2 linked regions of the Struthio camelus genome follow. The protein of the gene in region 2 purifies or fractionates together with the protein of the main gene of each other region. This does not show direct contact. Links are inferred from orthologs where the notes say so. Each region holds a gene or a part of one and is shown on either strand. Other genes may lie near its edges.

Region 1 (10,690 bases), on a different chromosome or scaffold from region 2:
GATTCAGGCCTTGCTGTGAAAGGCACTTCCTGCCCCAAGCAGTTTATAGTCTAAACAGAAGAGACTAGTGATAAACAGCAGGGAAAAGGCAGTATTATTGCAACACAGTAAATGTTAAAGAAAGCCTACCAAAAATGAGATTTTTCTAAAAATAAATATTGACATCTTTTTAATTTATTTTATAGACTATTAAAATTTGTCTTTTCAAGCTTTCTTAATCCTTAAAGCTTTTGTTTGCTGTAACAGCAGAGATTCTTGCTTACTCACATGACTCCAGGAGGTGAGGTCTTTTAAGATCGACACATCATCTCAATGGTCCTTCTTCTAGGCCTGCTTCAAAATTCCTTTCTTCTGGCCTGCCTACACAAAACATTGGCCACAGCTAAGCAGCTAGTTTCTTACATCCTCCCATTTGAGGAGCAAGAATTGTTTCTCTTGTATTGCGCAAGCACAACAGTTTTCCCCTTACCCATGCAAATATTTTTAAGAATAGTAGCAGTTTTTAATTTTCGTTCTCCTCCTCCATTATTCTGAGTCTACAATTCAAAGTTTCCTTTTTCTATTCAAGGTCTCATTGGTAAATGCTATTACCAATATTGAGAATTTGCTGTTCCATCCCTGATTTCTGACTCAAACATCTTAACTTGCAGAAGACCCTATTAAATTCCTGGGTTCTCTGATGACAGGTGATACAAAGGAGGGAAAAATAAGCTGATAGAAAGAAGTGGGTGTTTTGCCTGCCCAACTGGGCCTCTAATGTAATTAGTGCATTAAGCTCACAAAAGGGGCAGCTGTGCAGAAAAAGAGAAAAAAAAAGCTGGTCTGAAAAAGTGGAAGTGGACCTATCCTACCATTTTCTTAAAGGTACAGGACCAAATCTTAAACGGATACAAAATGGTTTGGCTCAATTGCAGGCAATGGAGACACTTAAGCTGAGAAAAACAGGAAGAATTTGTTCTGTGGCCACCGTCTCACCATCTTCACTTTCTCTGTATATCCTAAAAAGAATATCCAGTAGCATGTCTAAAAATAGGACTGAAGTTTCTCAACTTCACAGTAGACAAGTATGCCAAAACTACTGTGTACTATTGTGCTGTGCTGAAATGAGAAAGGAATACTCATACTGTCTGTGTAGGAGGAAGCCTTTGAGGGGAAGATCATCGATAATAAAGGCCTCTTTTATCTGAAACACCTAACATTTCAGCTCTTCAAATCCCAACAGTGCATTTTCTTAAAACAGGTTTCTATTATCTGTGTTAAACACATCAAATTGAGTAATTCAGTATCATCATCTAAATTCAGTGTTGTGATAGCTGAATGAAATTGGGGCAAGCTAGCTAAAAAGGTAATAGAAGCCTTTCTTAAAAGCAGCATGTGAAATGCATCAGTGCTTTTCTTTCTTTGAGGAGGAAAGAAAAAAAAGAAAAAAAAAAGTCTCTGCTTTTCTCCAGTGTGCTTATGTTACTGAGCTGAAGACTCTTGATATGGTCTATAGGGCAGGACTTGCTAGAGGCGATTAGTGAGATTAGGGCTTTATTATGGTAGTTAGCAAAGGAAAATCCTTGTCCCGGAGAACTTAGTCTCTGTGGACAAGGTGGGGGAGGGGGGAGGGAATCCTTTCAATTCTTAGATCAGTGGCTGAAGCAAGCATTTAGCAGTTCTCTCTGACCTGGTTTAGGCGTTCAACAGTCTATTGTTGTTTTCAAAACTATTGTTTTTCTACATGCAAAAAAGGCTACTGCATTCTTCCCATCTGAATGACATATACCATGTGCTTGTGGCTCCTCCGACTCAGGAAAAAAAAAAATTGTTTTCCTCTAGAGAATGCAGTTCTTAGCTCTACTACACACACAGTACAACCAAGAAAAGTTCTAACAAGTGTGTGTCAATAAATGTATGTATGATACATGGCATAAAAATGTTATTTTCCTAAATCTCTGGGCAAAACACAGCTCATTCAGAGTGCTCATAGGGCAGCTCTAGCACTGACCAACCACTGTATTTCTCTCTTCAAGCCCTCTGAGAAAGCAATGTGTTGTTAGCACCTTTTTTATAGACAACTGAGATTCCAGACAAATTATCCAAGACCACACGTGAAGTCTGTGGTGAAACAGGAACCTGAGCTCGGTTGCCAATAGACATGCTTTCCTCCCATTTTTTTCTGTATTTTTATTTTCAGCGCAAAGACTATGACAAATCACAACAGGGTCAACATGGTAGAATATTTGCATTGTCTATACAAGGTGCAAGATGTGGGGAAATACTGCTCAGTAGGCTCAAGAAGCAAACGGAGTTGAAATCATTTTTTTCCCCCCTTGCTCTGAGTTGCGTTCTCCAATACACAGTCTCAAAACTGGCCTCACATAAAACACAGTGTGTATAAGAAATTAACTGAAGGCCCCAAAATATGCGTGTGTGTGTGAACAGGGGGATGGAATTTGCATCCCACCATGTAAGTAGTATATGGGGATGCTCTGTTATGACTCCTTTTGTGGGGCTGGAATAAGGGATACGCTCCTGTGGAATACTGCTGGCTACATCCATGAAATTAGGAAAATTACACTCCCTCTCCCCCTCCATCTTCACAAACATCTGCTCCTGGTATCTCAATATCGTGTCTCTTCAGTGCTCACCCTGTATGACGCAGGCTGCAACTCTGTGGGACACCCAAGGTTGCAGTCCTGTGCTAACAACTGTGGGGTTCACCTCGGCATGAGACAATGGTTTCCCTGTGGTTTAGTGTGTGTAGCTCTGTGCCTCTCCTTTCACCCTTGCTACTGGAGTCAAAATAGCCAGCCAGTAAGAGAATAGCTCACTTGTGTGTTATCTGCTTCCACAGTGAATGTGACAGCCTCATGAACACGTGAGCAATGCTGAGTAGGAACATGAACGCAGGGAGCTTGCAGAATGTTTAGTCAGCACATTTTTCCATTTCAGCCTGGAGAGTAGTCTCGTATGCCGGGGGCTGGAATGCTGCCCGCTTATGGTAGCCAGTTAATTAGGCCGACACTCCGCATGTGATACACCACCCCTCGTTGAGAATGCCAAATGTCTTGTGATGCACAGTCCACTCTTTTCCTAGTTTGCTTTCTTATGCAACAAACCTGGTTTGTCCTCTATTAGCAAATGAATGTTCCCAGGTAGATAGATAGAGGATGTCTACGAGAATAATATCCCTGTAATAATATTTGCCCATTCCACAGTCACCTGCATTTGAGGACTTCAGTGTGGCAGACTATCAGAAATTTGCAGTGATCCTGGGGGGAAAAAGGGGGGATTGCAGATCTTTTTATAAGGTTGGGAAAATGGAGGTAATAATAAGTAAAACAAGTAAGTGACTTTCCCGAAACCACAGAACTCATTAGTTGGCAAACTAAGTAAACCCTAAACCAAGGAAGGCCTTACAACGTGTATGAAATTTACAGTATGTGAATAACAACAATGAAATAAAATACTTTGCTTGATCTACGTGCTTAAGGAAATTACAAAACAGCATATGGCCCTCTACTTGGGGCACGTGCAGCCAAACTAACATGGATACCAGTATCCATCTAACCATGAGAAAGCAGCTCAGTGTCAACTAATTTACCCTGCTCCAGTGGAGACCAGTTACACTGTACATATGCCTCATATCCCGTAATCATATTTCCCCCACTTTTTTGCATAAAACTCACTTCTGTGAGTTTGTGTGTATTGCCACATGTGGCTTAGATGTCATTTTTTGACTTTAAAACCTGGTATCAATTCAGCCCTAATTAAGCAGTTGCTCTTCTGCTGTCAGCAGCATGCAACTGAATTGTCTTTCTGAATCCTTTGCTGCAGATAAGTAAATCTGGTAACAGTTAGGAAATGTATTATTAGTGCATTGACATCTCATACAGTGTGCTAATAAACTGCAGTTCAGGGTGACTATCAGGATATAAAATCAAATGCATCTATAATGTAGTTACCTGTAGCTTTTTTTTTTTTTCCTGATGTTTCTGTTGTGAAATTTGAAGCCACTGAGGTTCCAGGATACCATAATAAAGTTCCTTCCTCTTCATGATACGAATGAACCCACATGACTACTGCACTGCAGTGTTTATATTCACTAAAAGATGTTTATAATAATGCCCACTTCACATACTAGACCTGCACTTATTCTTTACTGAGTAAGTGTTTATGTCAAATAAGACACATAGCATCGATTTATAGGACATTTGGGAAAGGCTATTTTAGACAAACTCTCCACAGACCCTAATAAGCAACTCAGATAAGGCTAATTCTTGGTTTGTTTCGGTGTAATTCCACAGACATCACTAGTATTGGTTAAACTGTAACTCTCGGATTTCACGCCACACCACAGGCAGGTCTGGCCTTCCCGCAGCCGGCTGCCCCATTAGGACAGGCGCCCTGCGAGGGCAGGGAAACAGCACCGCCCTTTCCACACGGGTTTTAACCCACGTCCGGGCCCCAGCTGCCTCTGCCCCCTGTGCAGGCATGGGGACGGGCTCACCTCGCTGCGCTGCGCTCTGCTCCCTCCAGGGCCGGGCCCACACAGCTCCCTTGCGGCCTCACACCTCCCCGGGGGCGGCCGCAGCGGGGCTGACTGCTGGGGGGCCGAGCTGCAAGTCTCGACATGGCGGGGGCCATGGGGGCTGGGGGCGGTGGTAACAAAGCTGTGGCGGGTGCTGAGGGAGCAGTGCTGGCAAGGCTGTGGCAGGCACTGAGGGTGGCAAGGCTAGAGCAGGTGCTGTGGTGGGCGCTGAAGGAGGGGGCACTGAGGGGCTGTGACAGGCACTGAGAGAGGGGCGCTAACGAGGCCACAGTGGGTGCAGAGGGGGGTGGTGGCGAGGCTGTGGCAGGGGCTGAAGGAGCCTCCTGCGGGCGCTGAGGGGCTGTGGCGGGTGCTGAGGGAGGGGGCGCTAACGAGGCTGTGGCGGGTGCTGAAGGGCGGGCGCTGAGGGAGGGGCGCTAACGAGGCTGTGGCGGGTGCTGAAGGGCGGGCGCTGAGGGAGGGGGTGGTGGCGAGGCTGTGGCGGGCACTGAGGGAGGGGGCGCTAACGAGGCTGTGGCGGGCGCTGAGGGGGGCGGTGGCGAAGCTGTGGCGGGTGCTGAGGGAGGGGCACTAATGAGGCTGCGGTGGGTGCTGAAGGGCGGGCGCTGAGGGGGGCGGTGGCGAGGCTGTGGCGGGTGCTGAGGGAGGGGCACTAATGAGGCTGCGGTGGGTGCTGAAGGGCGGGCGCTGAGGGGGGCGGTGGCGAGGCTGTGGCGGGTGCTGAGGGAGGGGCACTAATGAGGCTGCGGTGGGTGCTGAAGGGCGGGCGCTGAGGGGGGCGGTGGCGAGGCTGTGGCGGGTGCTGAGGGAGGGGCACTAATGAGGCTGCGGTGGGTGCTGAAGGGCGGGCGCTGAGGGGGGCGGTGGCGAGGCTGTGGCGGGTGCTGAGGGAGGGGCACTAATGAGGCTGCGGTGGGTGCTGAAGGGCGGGCGCTGAGGGGGGCGGTGGCGAGGCTGTGGTGGGTGCTGAGGGAGGGGCACTAATGAGGCTGCGGTGGGTGCTGAAGGGCGGGCGCTGAGGGGGGCGGTGGCGAGGCTGTGGCGGGTGCTGAGGGAGGGGCACTAATGAGGCTGTGGCGGGCGCTGAGGGAGGGGGCGCTAACGAGGCTGTGGCGGGCGCTGAGGGAGGGGGCGCTAACGAGGCTGTGGCGGGCGCTGAGGGGCCGAGGCGGGCGGCTGCGGCAGGCTCTGAGGGGGACCCGGGCGGGCGCTGAGGGGGCGTGCGGAGGAGCCGCCCGCGCCCCCTCGCGGAGCGCCCGCCGCCTGCGCGGGGCGGCCGCGCCCGCGGTGGCTCGCCGGCGTGCATGTTAATGCGCGGCAACTGCTCGGGGAGGCGGAGCGGAGCGAACCGCCGCCCGCCCGCTCGCCTGCCTTCCCCCTCTTCCCCCCCCGCCGCCGCCGCCTCTCCTCGCCGGCCTCCCTGATGCCGAGGAATGGATAGAGCGGCTGCCCTGCGAGCCGCCGGCATGCTGGAGAGGAAGGAGCGGAGCGGCGGCGAGGCGGCGGCCCGGGCGGGCGCGGCGGGGCCGGGGCCGGCCGTGCGGGGCTTGCCGGCCGTGCGGAGCACGCTGCAGCAGTGCGGGCTGCTCCAGGACCTCATCGACATCTCGCTGTCCAACCTGCGCGGGCTGCGCACGAAGTGCGCCGCGTCCAACGACCTCACGCAGCAGGAGATCCGCACCCTAGAGGTACGGGGCCCGGCAGCCGCGGCTCGAGGCCTGCCCCCCGCCGCCGGGGCCTGCCCGCCCCCTCCCCGCCCGGCCCCGGCGCCCTCTCCCCTCAGCAGCGGCAGCGGGAAGCGCCGCCGGGCCGCGCCGCCTCGCCGGTGCGTGGCCCCTTCCTCCGCCGCGGGGAGCGGGAGGGAGGCCCCCCGCCGCCCTGTCAGCCGGGGTCGCCTGGGCCCGGCCCTCTCGGGGCATCCGCGGCCCCAGATCCTTGCCCTGCAACACGGCCCCGAAGCGGCGCCCTGCGGAGGGGGTTGAGGTGAAGGGGGGGGGCGCCCGAGAAGGGGCAGGCCCGTGGGGAGGGCCTGGGGCCCGCATCCCGCGGCTGGCGGGCAAATTTGGGGTGCGGCAGGGCTGTCGGAGGAGTCTGCATTGAGGGAGAGCTGCATTTGCCTCGCGTGTCCGTGCCCGCTGCCCCCCATCCGGCTGCGCAGCCCCGGCGCTGCTGGCCAGTGGCTGGTCTCTGCGTTTCATCCTCTGCAGAGGTGGATGCGAGGCAGGGCAGAGAGCAGAGATGAGCGCAGGCTCCCTGGCAGGAGCTGGGACACTGCATCTGTTGTCCACAGACAGCTGGAGATACCTTCTCCCACTGGTCCTGCTCTTTGGTGTTTGCTTCTAATGGCTCCTGCCCTGTACTTCCAGGCCTGTCTTTCTATTCCTGGCTCAGTTTCACTGATCTAATTTGATCCTCCTTTTTGCTCCGTCGGGGTGGCTGACAGCAGCACCACAGCCCAGGCTGGAGAGATGTTCCGCTGCTTAGAGAGGTTGTAGGAAACTCCTGATGCACAGAGCATGATGCTTTCAAACAAGGACCAAGTCTGTACAGACACACTCAAGTCTGCCTAAGTATTGAGAAGGAGAATTTGGATTTGTTTTTGTTTGCTTCTTCTGACCTTTAGAAACTGAAATAACATTTTCTTTTACCTTGTATGCAGGTGATATTGCTCTAAGTATGGTAGACAACTCCTAACCCTCATCCTTGACCAGAAGTTTCATATAAAGGCTAATGGCCCTTTTCTCTAGTGCGATAGTAGGGGCTGTAGAGCTAGACCATCAGACCTTTAAGAAGAAGCATCATTACAACAGAATAACTGTAACAAACAGATATTCTGTGAAATCATCACATGAGAAATTTGGAAAAAAAAAACCTGTAAAAACAATAGGTGGTAGCTCTTGGCACAATCTCTTAGAAACCTGTCATTTTTCCTTCTCCCTTCCCCTGCATTTTTTTTAACTGATAGTACTCTTTTCTTCCTCTTGCCACCTCCAAATAGCCTTCAAAAAGTAAGAGAAAACACTGCTATTCTTTATAAAACAACATTTGTGCAGACTTTTTGCAATCCTAGTAACTGCTTTTTCAATACCCAAACAATAACAATCAGCATCATTTTGGAAAATCATCAGTAGTACTTTGCTCGTGGCCCATTCTAAAAGGAAATCTTTATTTACAAGGGATAAAGGCGTGCTATGGTCTTCCGATTCTTCTTAAGGCAACAAAAACTTTCTAGTGATAGTTGTCTAGTCTATGCACACATTCTTCTTAAACATTTAACTGCGTAAACAAATGGGTGCCACATTCACTGGTGGTGAAATATTTCTCTCTGATGCACTGTCTGCTATATGATTTCTCTGGGAATTCAACCAAATGCTAAATCTTTGCCAACATGTGAAGCTACAGGCATGAGGATGGACTTGATGGACTCTGCCCTTTACTCTGTTTGGTTACCTCTACCAAAATATGTGCTGTCAAGGAGTCTTGAGCTCAACAACTGTCTGTGTCTGAAGTAGATTTGTCTACAGCCACAGAGCAGAGAATTAAACCGTAGGAGATGAGGGTCTGTGTTTACTTCTGTAAGTTGTAATTTCCCAGAGAGACGCCCAGACTGCGGTAGGCTGCATTGCTATCTCGAATAGCAGGTGGTCTGCCTGTGGCACTACACAACGCAACTATTGTGCCTTGGTTAGCGTGACAGAAATGCATGCATGTTTGGTCATAGACATTTGCATATCAGATCAAGTTGGCACAGACAGATGCTCCAGTATTGCACAGATCCAGTGCTACTGGTGATCTGACTGCAGTGCAGTTATTGCACAGACTGTAGGTAAGTCCTCACTAGTCCGTAATTTTAACCAAAAGCTTGGACTTTGAAGTCTGAAGATTTCTAATGTCTGCTGCCATTCTCTGGGTGGCCTTGACGAGTCACTGAATGACTTTGTGGATCGTGGTTAGTGGCTACTAGTGGTATGGTTGCTGGGCCTGCAAGCCCCATCTGTACTTCAGATTTGAATCCATAAGTGTTTTTTGTTCTTGTGTGGAAACTTTTTCATGGAAAAAGAGTTATGAAAAAACTTAGCTGAAACAGTATAACATAAACTGTAGCAAAGCCACAAGGATATGATAAAACATGAGATAGATACAAGAAGCAAACTGGAAACAGGAAGTACTAGTTTAGGAAGAGAGGGGACTTGACCTTGGAAGTTGAAGTAGGCCACTACTCAGTAGGCTCCTGAGGCCAAATATGAGGCTGCATGTATGTGTTCTGAAGGCAGTCCAATATATTAGGTCAAAAGTCAGCCCTTTTTTTTTTTTTTTTTTTTTTAATTTGAAGGAACAAAAAAGTGGGGGAGTGTCCATGATGCACTTTCTTTATAGCTCATAGGTTTGCAAAAGTTTTGTGATGCCTAGTTTTTGGTGTCAGCACTGTGAACCTACAGGTGGAGGGATACCTCCTTGAAGGGAAACTTATATCTCAGTGAGCCATAGGCATTCTGACTGCCTGTGTGTGAGGGTGAATACTGTCAGGTGTACATGGCTGTTTAAACTTTAGAGCAACACAGATCAGACTGCAGTGTGTGCTGTTTACCACTTCTAGTCCCACAGTTAGCAAAGCCCTGAAGTAAAGTTCTGAAAGCAGTTTTAGACACTAAACACCAGTGAAAATTAATCTTAATTTCTGTGTTATTTTATTTTTACCTTAAACTACTAGTTGGTCCTTTTGGTACCTCTTCCTTCTGAGTCTGTTCACAACTCGATGTATATATTACAATATACATCGCATGATTCATAGTATGCGTGTTTCAAAGTCAAGAACATCAACCTAAGCAAAGGTAATTCAGTGTCTGCTTATGTTCCTTCCAATTTATTGAAATGCATTCTGCTTAAGTGTGTGTATATGCTCTTCCCAAACTAAAGCACATGGTGGATAAGGATGTCAAACTGGGACTTTGATAAGTAAAAATAAGCATATATACTCATTTTAGCTCTAATGATTGCAGGGAGAACTTTCTGTAATGCAGAAAGAAGAGGAGGGAATACAGGCCTGTGGGAATTGCTTGCAAATAACTTGCTGAGGGTAGATATGTTACATGAGCTGGCCCTGTTTCATGTGTAGTAAGGCTGTTTCTTAGAAGGGTAGGGAGTTTCCCTGCAATGCAAAGTAGACTCTGTTAGTTTGGTTATTAACAGAGCAGGTTCTCTGATACCACAAGGTCTTGTATTTTTTAATTTTTATATGTTCTGCTGAATAAGTGCTTGAGTGTTTTTCTTTTTACCCAGCATTTCAGTATATGGCTTACTTTCAGTTCTGTCATAGCAGGTTTACTCACTTCTCAAGTAGGCTTCAAAATTGAAATGGAAAATAATGGTAATCTTAAACCATACCTCAGAGAGAAAAAACGTCTTGCGGTGTGGCGAGCACCAATACTCCTCCATGCATCCTTGGAAAGAAGCAACTCTTGACAGTTTTTAACTCTATCCCTATGCTAATCCCTTGCACAACTTGTAAATTGTCTTAGCACAGTTATAAGCATGCTATTTTTAGCCATACTTCTTTATGAAAGTGGTAACTCTCTGGATCTGTGTCTCTGGCTAGGAAGCTGATAACAGAACAAGACTTGGCAATCTGTAGCAAGGCACATGAAACCTCTAACATTATAGCTCAAGCCAGTCTGTTGAGATAAAGAAGAGAATATAGTCTTATGTGTTGGTTGCAAGTTCTTTTGGTTTCCCAGTCTCTTCTGCTGAAGACAGCATAGCTGGTTTTATAAACTGCAGGAATTGCCAGACTAAGCAGGGCACTTTTTCCAACGTTAATTGCCACAAAGATGAAGCAGGACCAAGCTGAACTGACCTCTAAAGTGTATTTAGATTGCCAAAGTATTTTTTCTACCTTAGTTTTTACATCATGAGAGCTAACTGTTTCTGGCAAGGAAGCAGCTTCCAAACTGGTTATGATGGCTCTGTCAGGGTGGGGCTGTAGTACGCATCGCTAAGATCTGCCAGTTTTTAAAAAAAAAAAAAAAAATCTTCATTGCATTTTGACTAGAATACCTCTGTGACTAGAGACACTCTTGGCCTAGTGTGCAAAGATCACTTTGACCTCTTCCTCAGGGCTACCTTCTGTTCAGCACCCCTGGAAAGCATGATGTG
Region 2 (11,565 bases):
TCCTTCCCATCACTCTTGCACCACTGCCTATTACCCTAGCTCAGGATAGAAAAGCAGCACGTGGGAAAATGAAGAAAGCTTACTAAGGCAGGACAAGCACCGTTCCCAAAACGTGCCCAGCAAATACTTTCTGGAAGCCTGAAGAGTAACTTACCGCTATACTGACTTTCCCCAAGATCTCCTCAGGAATTCTCTTGGCTTCTTTCAACACTTGATCCAGAGAGCCGCCATCCTGAAACGACAAACAGAGAAATTATCAACACACCAAAGCCCAGCAGAAAAGCAGAGTAACTGGCCATGCAGTCTAGCATGCCTGCTGAGGTTAAGTGGTATATGAGCAGTATACAGCATCCCAGCCCAGCTGTCAGTAACAATTCGGCACCAAGAACCCTCCCATTAGGAGGGAAAAGATCTCTGATGATCTCTGTTAAAACTGGCTCTCACTGAAAACGATTTTAAAGCTGTCGTCTATCATCTCTACTTCTTGCTGTTAGCTTTTAGCATGCTTTCCCTTAGAGGTCAATGCAAAGATGATGCTGTCAGCACTGATCCAGAGGAGAAACAACACTCTTCCCTGCCAGAGACAACAGAAAACGCACACTGCACTTCGGGGAGTTCTGTAGAGTGGCAGGTTTACAACATTTCCGCTTGGCCGGCCCCCAAACCTCTGCTTCTGCTTTCCAGAAAGTCAACTTCTCTGTCATTTAGATGCCCAAGGAGGACCACGCAGCTTCTAGCAGGAGCTGAACGGCCTTGTTGCCCTCAAAGCAGCCAGAGCAAGAAGCCGTTGCAGCTGCCAGCTGAGAGCGCTAGCAGGCTTACCCACTTTGCCTGCAGTTTCAGTCTCGCTGAGATGCGACTCAGAACATGGAACCGGAGAGCAGCAGTTTGCAGGGGAGGAACACGGACTCACCATGTGCTCCATGCAGATGGAAATCTCCCCATCGCTGTAGAAGGCTCCATAGAAACCCACAATGTATGGGGAATTACACTCGTGCAGCACCTGCAGCTCCCGGATAATCTGATTCCTGATGGCTGGCTTGATTTCTAAATGAATCAGCTGCCAAGAAAGAAAAAAATAACATCAAAGTATAGTGCCTGGAAAAAAACTACGGGGCCATGAGAGCCTGTCCTCAGTGCCGGAAAGAAATTAAAAAGCACTCGAGGAAGCTCTGCTTTGACCTAGACTTTATTGTTTGCATGCTAAACATTAAGGATAAAGGGGACAACCAGCGTGCTGCGCAGCCTGTTAGCAACTGAAGCAACTGCAGGCCCAAGTAACATGCCGAGATCACACTGGCTACAGAGCAGAAAGATAACTCAGAAGTTGGGTGCAGATCTGACTCAGCACACAACATTTTCACAAGCTCTGTAGGTGTTGTAAGAATATAAGAGGTGTTCTGATATCAAAGAAACCACAGAAAGTAAAAAAACATGAAGATTATGCACTTGAAAGACCAACTGCATTATTCCTTGGGCTCCACGTAGAGTCAGCTAACAAAGTTGTGGGTAGGGAAGCCATAGAGGCTGGAAAACGTGACGCCAGGTTACAAAAGCAGCTACTGTTACTGTAAGCTCTAAGACCTCCCTCACCAGGGACTTCTGGCCTTCCTACAGGGCCACAAAGGCTGGTCTCTGCAGGGACGCACAGCACTGTGCTGCCTAACCTTGCCTTGAGCTTCAGTTTCTGAGCTGCAGTAATTTCAAAATCAGTTACATGTAATGCTCCCAAATCAAATGCCACAATGGAAAACCTCAGAGATGTCAGCTCCAAGGGAAGCTGCCTAAAGAAACATATTCGCTCTTGAGAACCACTGAACCTTGCCGTTACCTTGTAAACTGCTCCCACAGCAGCGAGAACAGAGACTTTCAAGGAAGTTGTCCCGTGGATTAGCGGTTGCGCTATTCCCTCACTGAGCATTGCCTTTTCTAACAGGCAGATAAAATATCTTCTCCTTTTCTATCACAGAGCATCACAACAAGAGATGACTCCCATAAACCCATGCTCGAGAGGCTCTGTTGTCATGACAGACTTGCAAGGCTGCTTGGAACTGTCTTGGGGATCAATTAAACGGAAGCTGGGGGGTGAGCCAGGCACACAAGACTTTCTCTTGTCTGTGCAGGAGCAGCTCAAAGCTCGGGCTTGCAGTAGGGGAGCTGCTGTGCTCACAGGGAATCCTTCTCTCTATAATTTCCACCAGGAATTTTCAGTCCTCATTAGCTACAACCTAAGACTCTCTGTTGCCTGTTTTCCCCATCCAGTTTAGCAGACGGAAAAAGAATAAACTCGCGTTTCCACAAAACACGTTGCAAAACCCCAGGGATCTGTTGCGGAGCGCGCTGCCCCTCCCCGGAGGGCCCACTGGTGAAGGGCGAAACGGCTGGATTGCTAAGAGACAAGGGGAGAGAGGCTACACACAAAACCCAGCTCAGGGCAGCAGGGACAGTCGTTACCAACCCAGGCGACGAGGTCTGTATGCAAATTTGTGGGGCTGAGCAGAGCCCATCTCACAAACACTACCTGGCTGCCAGGTTTGGCAAGAAGGTGCAGGAAACCAAATTCCCCTCCCTCTGTTACGCGCAACAGCCACCCCGGCTGACATCTCAAGGAGCCGCATCTATTCCCGGGGCAGGCAGGAGAGAATCGCCAGAGCAGACAACCAAGACGGATACCACTCAGTTCAGCGTGAGAACGGGTTAACGCAGAGAGATCCTGACCGAATCCGGCTTTCCTGGGGCTGGGATGAGCGCAATATGCCATTGCGCCTTACCTCTCCAGCAGGCCCCGGGCACCTGCCCCTCCGTTACCTTTCGTGCCATAATGAGTCCTGAGGGTTTGTGCTGCACTTTGGTGACCACGCCGCCGTTGCCGGCTCCCAGTTCAGAGATCCTCTCAAAGTCATCGTCCTTCAGCTCCCCGACCTTGGCTTTCTGGGTGAGAAAAGCTTCCAGGCGCTTCTTTTGCTGCTCATCCAGTTCCAATTCCTCGAGCTTCTTCTGAAGGTCTACTAGGTTCGCCCTGGAGAAAGACAAGGAGGAGAACGGAGAAACGGTCAGGAGTCTGCGGGGCCATCGCCAGAGAAAGGGGGCTTGTCCGGTCCTTTGCTCTAGCGGCAGAGGCAAAACGAAAGCACGGCTCACGACGGGTTAGAGAGGAGGGCCCAACCAGAGGGAAGAGACTCCCAAAACCGTTTAGTGGAAAACGTTTGACACTGCAGGGAAGGAGAGGGAAATAACAGAAAAGCCCCATCTTACGCGTAATCAGACCAAAACCGTGATATAGCAGAGAGACTAAAACAAAGCTCAGGAGAGACGCAAGGCTTGGCTACGCTGCTGATGGGGACGTGCGGGCAGCAGAGACCAGTGATGCAATGTCTGCCCAACACTTGCATCTCTTCCAGAGAGGTTTTTTAATACAGTCAGCTGTCTCAGGAAACCCCAAGGAGCGGGGAAAATCGTTCGGCCCTTAAAGGGGCAGCAGAGCTCAGCCCGGGGAGAGCGACAGCACCAGCGAGCAACCTCTCGCTCCGCAAGCGCAGGGAGCCGAGCTTGGGTTTCACGGCGAAACACGAGAAGGCCCTTTCCAGGCGTCCAGCAAATCCCCCTGCTCCGTTACACCCCCGGCCGCCCCTCCGCTCGCCCGAGCACAAAGGGATGTCTGTGCTCCCCCAGCACCTGCTGCCCGGGGCGCCCGGCGCGGGCCTACGCGCCTCCTAACCCGGCTCCAGCCTCCTCCTCCGCCCCAGAGCGGCGGGGGGGACCCGAGCCAGCAGGCTCGGAGCCCCACGGGCGGCTCTGCCCCCCCCCCCCCAAGCTTTCACCGCCCGGCAGCCCCCGACCCCAGTGCCGCATCCTGCTCCCCCTGAGCCCTAGTCGCTCCCCTCCCTCCCCCAAAACTGCCCCCGGCCCCCAGCCTGGCTTCCCTGTCCCCTGCCCTCTAGGACTAGCCCCCCACCCCACCTCGCCTCAGCCCCCCAACGCCGGCCAGCGCTGCCGGGACACCCCCCCCCCCTCCGGCTTTGCCCAGCTGCCCCCTGGTCCCCAGCCACCCTGGGGGCCCGGCCCCCTCCCCACCTCCTGCCTCCCGCCGGCTCTCCCACCCCGTCCCCAGGCCGGGCCCATCCTGCCGCCCGGGGCCGCGGCGGTGGCAGCGCCGTGACGGCGCAGACCGGCGGCGGCCGCCGCCCCACTCACTCACTCGGCGGAGCCGTCGGGGCTGGGCCCCTCGGCGGGGCTGGGGGCGATGTTGAGGGCCGGCAGCACCGGCTTCCTCTTGGCGGGCATGGCCGCGCCGGGCCGTGCGGGGCCTAGCGGGGGCGCGGCCGCATGGCCGCGGGGGCGCGCCAACGAGCGCGCGCGGGAGGGGATGGGGGCGGGGCCGAGCCGCGGGGGCGGGGCCGAGCCGCGGGCGGCGGCGGGAGGGGCGGGGCGGCGGCGTCTCGCGAGAGCGCGGGGCGGGTCTCGCGGGAGCGCGCGCCGGCGGGAGCGCGCGCGGGGGGGGGAGGTGGAGGAGGGGAGGGAAAGGGCGAGGGCGGAGGGAGGAGATGGCGGCGCGGGGTGAGGGAAGGAGGACGGAGGAGAGGGAGGGACGGGGAGAAGGCGGCGAAGGCCCGGGCAGGGGGACGGAGGGGGCTCCGGGAGGGCGACGGCGGCGGGGACGGACAACCCCAGCCGAAGGGACAAAGGCTGCAGAGCCAGGCAGAAGGGGGCCGTCGGGCAGCGGGCGTCACAGGGAAGGAGCGGGCGTCAGGCGTCGGGTCCTTCCCAGGCCTGCCCCGCCGGCCGCCCCGGCCCCCTCGGTCGCTCTCGGCGGCCCCGCGCGCCCAGCAAAGGCCGAGGGTAACGGTCGAGGGCCTTAACGAAGCGGGGCGGTTAGCAGCCTCGGCCGCTGCGGGCCGGCCTCGCCCTCACGCCTCCCGCCGCCGAGGAGCCGGCCGGCCTCGCCCGGCCGCGGCCCCGGGAGGCCGAAGAGAGGCCGGCGCCGGGGCCGGGATGGCGGCGGCTCCAGGCCGAGCCGCGCGCCCTTTGCTCGGGCGCCAGGGGGTTCCCGTCTCCGGCAGCAGGGCAATAAACGCGCGCGGCGGGGCCGGGAGCGGCGGCGTCACCGCGGGGGCGGAGGGGTAAAACCGCGGCCTCGCGCCCGGCCCGGCTCCCGTCGCCGCCAGGCCCCCGTTTTCCGCCCGGCTCTCCCCCTCCTCGCTGAGGGCGAAGGCTCTCGGCGTGGTGCCCGGGCTTCCAGGGACCCGCTGTGACACCTCCATCCCGGGGACGGGCACGGGGACGAGCCGCCTGGCCCCTGCTCGAGGGTCCCGCCGCGGCCGAGCCGGGCCGGCGCTGGGTGCCCCACCGGATCGGGCCGCCGTGCCTGATCAGAGGGCGTCGCGCAGCGAGATAACGGCCGCGGGCAGCGGGCGGGTGCCAGGCGCACGGCCTTGTCCTCGCCGTCCCGCTTGCCACACCTCGGTCACACGCTTTCTTACTCACCGGGGCTCCCGGTTCGCCGCTGGGCTGCCACACGGGGAGCTGCAAGAGGCCAAACCCTTCCCTTCCCCGCGCCGTGGCCCAGCTGCACTGCCTGGCCCAGCTCAGGCCGTGGCTGGCTCTTCCCTCCTCAAAGGTGTTTCTCCCCATGGAGAGGGGTCTCGGGGTGGGGTTATACCTACCGACGGAGAGCAGGATCGGACCATGAGTCTCCAAAATGCTGGTCTGGCAAGGCAATGAGGGAGCTCTGTGGCACAAAGGAGCTCTGGTGGCATCTAGGTGGGGGTCTGGAGGCCAAGTGGACCCAGTCTGGGTAAGGAAGGAGGATGCCCAGGCCCGTGTAAATCTGTGTCATGATGTTAAATCCCCCAAGGGGGCTGTCCGAGCGCAGGTGCCTTTCCGGGACGTCAGGCCCGGGGTTTTTTCCATCCCACTGGAGTTTGGGGTCATGGCGTGGAGGGTGCTGTGGCTGACGTGCCTCCGGGCTGACGCCCTCACCACAGGGAGAGGGAAACGTGGGAAAGCAGCAGCCAACAAACTCCAACCCTTAGCAGGGAAACTGAGGCACGGAGGGCAGGGGCTAGCCCTCGTGGGAGCACCGGCCTGGGTGGCAGCACCCAGGCGTCCAGCCCAGCAGCTCTCACCCTGGTCCCCGGGACCAGAAGGGGTCAACATTTGTTGAGCACAAGATAAGTAGCAGAGTCCAAGTCAACATTTTCCCCGGATGTTGTTCTCAACACCTATATAACGCAATTAATGCTGATACGCTGATCTAAAAAAAGGGAAATTGGGCCCGAAATGGGTGAAAGTTCATTGGCAGCTGCGGCAGCCGGGACTTTGCCCCACCAGCCCTGGCCCCTCCTGCCCCCCCTTAGCGGAGGAGGACAAAAACATTTAGCTAATGAATTACGGAGCGGCGCAGGTCCTTCCTGGCAGCCCGGCCATCACTCAGCGCTGATCCCCAATCAGGGCCCGGGTGATTTTGCAATCCTTGATGCTATTTCTGTGTGGTTGGAGTTTAAACTTTGCCACTTGGGTCAGGGCACCGCAGAGGAGGAGGAGGCTGGCTTCGGTGTCCGGCCCGCTCCCTCTGCGTGCCAAGGGGGTTCGAAGGACGGGACGGACCCACAGACCCTGCTCCGCTAGAGCTGGGATCTAGCACAGGTAGGTCCTGGCTGCCAGCACTCACCGCTGGGCACTCGAGCCGCTCCGTCAGCCCCGGGGCCGATGGGGCTTGCTGGCAGGAGAGAGCGAGCGTGACGAGGAGCGATGAACCCCCGTCCTGGGGACGGCTGGGCAAATGTCATGTTCCCAAACTGGGCTTGAAGGGCTCTTTGGGTGGGTGGTCAATAGGTTGGGAGGGTCAGAGGGGTGGTGGATTGGGTGGTTGGGTGGTAGTTTGATAATCGATTGGGTGGCCGGTTGGTCATTCGATCAGTCAGTTGGGCAGTTGGTTGGTCGGTCAGTCGGTCAGTAGGTTGGTTGATTGGTCAGTCAGTTAGTCAATCAATTGGCTGGCTGGCTGATTGGCCATTTGGTCTGTTGGTTGGTCAGTTGATTGATTCGGCTGGTTGACTAGTTGGGTGGGGTTGGTCAACTAGTTGGCCAGTTGGTCAGCCAGCTGGTTGGTCACCTGGTCCGTTGGCCAGCTGGTTGGGTCTGGGGTATCAAACCGTCCCTGATAACTGGCGCGTTCCTGGTAGACCAGGGCTGAGTCCCCTTCTCGGGGCCGGCCAACAGTAGCTGCCCCTGCCCCCACCATGTTAACCACCCAAAATGATTAACCTGATCTTCCCGAGCACGTCGCGCGTGGCGGATGGGTCTGTTGGGGAAGCTGAGCAGCACCCAGGCCTGGGTGCCCCTCGTCCTCCTGTTCCAGGGGTGCCGGGGCAAGTGTGTGCCCGTGGGGAGGGTCAGCCCTGGCTTTGCAGTTCTCTTGGGGGAAAAAACATAGGGAGTGGGAGTTTCAGCCACTGGAAGGGGGCAGAGGGAGGGACCCAGCTTCAGCAGAGCTACCCCTGGGCCCCCAAGTCTGTGCATGCACATGTGTGCCCGGCCATATACGTGCTCTGCCTCCCACACGTGCACATGCGGAGACCTGGGCTTGCCTGGATGCGCTCGCACACTCACAAATACGTGGGTACGTCTGTCCAGATATGCCCACAAGCACGCAGCTGCATGGCCGTGCACCGGCACATGGTCACACGCTTGCAGGTATGCACACATGCACGTGGCCCCACACACACACGTGTCAGCATGGTCACAGCCACCTACCTACACATCTGCCTGCTCCTACGCACGTGTCCACATAGTCACAACTGTGCGCACGTGTGTAGAGACATGTCCCCACAGTCTCACACACGTGTCCCTTGCACCAGCCCTGTGCCCATCCCACAATTCGGGGTGTCCTCGGGCGCCCCAGCCCTGGGGTCATGCCGTTCAGGGGAGGTGGCTGGGCCCTGGGGAGGAGGGCAGAGGCCAGCGGTGACCATGGGGCAGGGGGGACCGGGGCCGGTGGCCTGACCCTGCCGCCTCCCCAGCCATGGCCTCCAGCGTGGGCGGCCTCAACAGCCTCGACCTGCTGGACTTCCTCTTCGACCGCGAGGACGGGATCCTCCGCGGCATGGAGCTGCGGATGCCCGCGGGCCCCTGGCAGCAGGACGCGGTGAGTCCCGGTGGGGCGGCCTGCCTCGCACGAGAGCCCGAACCCTGGACCTTGCCAGATGGGTGCCCCGTGGAGACGGGTGCCCCGTGGGGACAGGTGCACCACGGTGACGGGCGCCCCTGTCCCTGCAGCGTGCCCAGGACAGCAAGGACTTCATCAGCTCCATCCTGGGCTCCGGGGACTCAGCATCGGACTCTCCCGGCTGGTCGCCAGCTGCCAGTGACAGCGGGGTCTCCGAGGACCCCCCCTCCGACCAGCTCGACAGCCCCCTGGGGTGCTGCGACGGGGGGCTCGGCGAGGCCTCCTACCCCTACTCCGACCCCGGCCAGCCCCTGCTCCTCCTGGGGGTGCCTGGGGCCCCGCGCCCCGAGGTCTCCATCGACCTGGGTGAGCTGTGGGGAGAGACCGGGCTGGGCACTGGGGGAGCTGGGGGCACTTAGGGGTACTGGAGGGGACTGGACAGGCTGGGGAGAACTGGCAGGTCTGGGGGACTGGGAAGAACTGGGGAACCGGGAGGAACTGGGCAGACTGGGATTAATGGGGGAGGAGCTGGAGGAGCTGGCCAGGAGTCCTGCACTGGGGTCGGGGGGGACACAAGACACGGCACTGCTGACAGCACCCGCTCTTCTCTTGCCCAGACATGTGGCACCCGGGCTTCTTCCTGGAGGAGAGCCAGGACCCACCTGCGGCCCCCGCGCCAGCATCCTGCACCCTCACCGTCAAGGACCTGCTGCTCTCAGGCAGCTCTGACCCCGTGAGTCCCTGTCCCCTTGTCCCCACCCCTTACCTTCCCTGAACCTTGGTCCCATCTCCATCCCTGTCGCCTGTTCAACCATGATCCCATCCTCATCCCTGAACTATGGTTCCATCCCCATCCCTGTCCCCATCACTGTCCCTGCTTGGCCATGGTCCCATCTCCATCCCTGTCGCCTGTTCAACCATGATCCCATCCTCATCCCTGAACCATGGACCCAACCCCATCCCTGTCCCCATCTCTGTCCCTTCCTGAACCATGGTCCCATCCATATCCACATCCCTCTCCCTGTACCCTCCTGGACCATGGTCCCATCCCCAACCCCAACTTTGCTGTTACCTCTGGGGCCTTGGTCCCTTGGAGGAGGGGGGTCCCTCGGCCCCCATGGTCCCTCGGGGTGGGTGCGGGGTAACCCCGCACCCTGGGGACATCACCAGTCCATGGCCCTGCAGCAGCTGCCGGTGCCCAGCTCCCTGCTGCGGCAGAGCCAGGGGCAGTGCCAGGAGCTGGTGCTGACGGAGGACGAGAAGAAGCTGCTGGCGAAGGAGGGGGTGTCCCTGCCCACGCAGCTGCCCCTCACCAAGGTGGGTCCCACAGCAGCCGGGCGCAGGGCGTGGGCACTGCGGCCACTGGGGTCCCCAGCCACCCTGACCCCTGTCTCCCCCAGTATGAGGAGCGGGTGCTGAAGAAGATCCGGAGGAAGATCCGGAACAAGCAGTCGGCTCAGGAGAGCCGCAAGAAGAAAAAGGAGTATATCGACGGGCTGGAGAGCCGGTATGGCCCCCCCCCAACCCCTGAACCTGGCCTGTTCCCGGGGTGGCTGCACCCCAATCCCCTGGGCTGGCATCCACATCCTGCCCCAGGCACCCATGGGTGCACCCGGCAGTGGTGCCCCAAGCTGGGTGGTGCTGGGGTCTGGGCCATCGCCTCCTTACCCCATCTCCCTCTCCCCGTCTCCCAGGATGTCGGCGTGCACGGCCCAGAACCAGGAGCTGCAGAGGAAGGTCCTGCACCTGGAGAAGCAGAACTCGTAGGTGCCCCACAGGGGACAAGGGGCAGACAGGGACACAAGGGGCACAACGGGGACATGGGGATCACGATGTGACCGTGGGGGGTGAGAACCCCCCCCCCAGGCAAGCTCTGCGGGGGGCAGGAGGGGCTCGGAGGAGAGTCCCAGCCCAGCTTGACCTCGGGGTGCTGATGAGGTCTCCCTGTCCCCAGGTCCCTCCTGGAGCAGCTGAAGAAGCTCCAGGCCCTCGTGGTGCAGTCGACCAACAAGGCAGCGCAGACAGGCACCTGCATCACAGTGCGTTGACCCCTCGCTTCCTCAGCTGTGGACCCCAAAACCCCTGGCCCCAACTTCTCCAGCCTCCCCTCAGGCCCCAAAACCCCTCTATGGCCACCCTGCTTGGAGGGAGGGAAGGAGGAAAGAAAGGAGGGCTGCAGGGATGGATGGAGGTGTGTGGCAGCAGTGTGCAAGGAGGGAGGGAGGGGTAGATAAAGCCATGCAAGGACAGACGGATGGAAGAAGGGTCGGAGGTGTGCTAGGGTGGAGGGACAGATGCTCCGAGGATGGATGGAGGGGATAGAGTGTGATGGGATGGAGGAACAGAGGGACACAAGAGTGGATGGATGGAAGAGGGGATGGAGGTGTGCTAGGGTAGAAGCACATGAGGATAGATGGAGGAAGGGATGAACAGAGGCGTGCTGGCAGGGGCACGTGGGCAGGGAGGGATGGTGGGACACAGACCTGGCTCTGTTGTGAGCCGTGTCCCAGAGTCTGACCCCCTCCACACGGTGACGTCCCCCTCTGCCCTCAGGTCCTGCTGCTCTCCTTTGCGCTCATCGTCTTCCCCTCCGTCAGCCCCTTCGCCTCCAGCAAGGCTGAGCCAGACGGCGACTTCGGGCCGGTGCGAGGTGAGGAGGGCTGGGAGGGCGGCGCGTTGGCGTGTGGGGCACTGGAGCAGGCCCTGACCCTCCTTCGTGTGCAGTTTTCTCCAGGTCCCTGCATAACGCGGCGGCCTCACGCGTGGCCTACATGCAGCCCCAGCCCGGGGACGAGAAGCCCCCAGAGCCGCTGTGGCCAGAGCGCCCGGGTGAAGCCCCCGAGATCCTGCACAAAGCCTTCGGCAGCCACACGTCCCCCCCGCACCCGGACAGAGCCTCCCCCCGCAACAGCACGCAGCCGCTCACCCCACCAGTACTGAGCCATGGTGATGGGGACGGGGATGGCACCATGCCAGGGGACGGTGCCACACCACCGCTCACCTGGACCAAGGCTGGCCACAGCAGGCCAATGGTGCTGGAGGCAGCTGAGGAGCTTTAAGCAGCACCTAGGACCATGGGGGACAGTGGGGTGGCTTAGCACCTCATCCCCTATGGGACAGGCCCTCAAAGCGGCCCTGCTGGCGTCCCCACTCCAGGCGTGGGCAGAGGCTGGACCCATTTGGCTTTGCTCTTATCTGTGAGCTGGGAAGGGGCAACTGGTTCCCACTGGCCTTGCTGGGAGGGAAGGGGCTGTCCTCAGCCCCCCTGGGGGCAGCAGCAGTTGTGGGAGATGCAGGGTCCCCCAGGATGGGGACAAGGGGACATCAACATTGCAAGTTGTTAGTTTTGTTCTTTTTTTAGCTTCATTTTCATCTCTAAATAAAAGTTATTTTGGAAA

What was found.
Region 1: the proteins of MAP2K2 (region 2) and KSR1 purify together in Homo sapiens (affinity purification with mass spectrometry; 4 studies listed by BioGRID and IntAct, with this or other methods). This does not show direct contact. The link is inferred for Struthio camelus from reciprocal best matches to the Homo sapiens genes MAP2K2 and KSR1.

The regions. Positions count from the first base shown.
Region 1 is NC_090957.1:21,167,928-21,178,617, forward strand, and holds the start of KSR1 (kinase suppressor of Ras 1), read left to right. Parts: upstream 1-5,830; 5' UTR 5,831-5,970; coding exon 5,971-6,225; intron 6,226-10,690.
Region 2 is NC_090967.1:4,357,675-4,369,239, forward strand, and holds the start of MAP2K2 (dual specificity mitogen-activated protein kinase kinase 2), read right to left. Parts: upstream 4,388-11,565; 5' UTR 4,285-4,387; coding exon 4,199-4,284; intron 3,020-4,198; coding exon 2,809-3,019; intron 1,061-2,808; coding exon 914-1,060; intron 233-913; coding exon 155-232; intron 1-154. Other genes in the region: CREB3L3 (cyclic AMP-responsive element-binding protein 3-like protein 3), read left to right, coding at 8,024-8,146, 8,278-8,533, 8,785-8,900, 9,353-9,484, 9,568-9,674, 9,862-9,930, 10,122-10,206, 10,721-10,817 and 1 more. UniProt on the Homo sapiens protein: Catalyzes the concomitant phosphorylation of a threonine and a tyrosine residue in a Thr-Glu-Tyr sequence located in MAP kinases. Activates the ERK1 and ERK2 MAP kinases.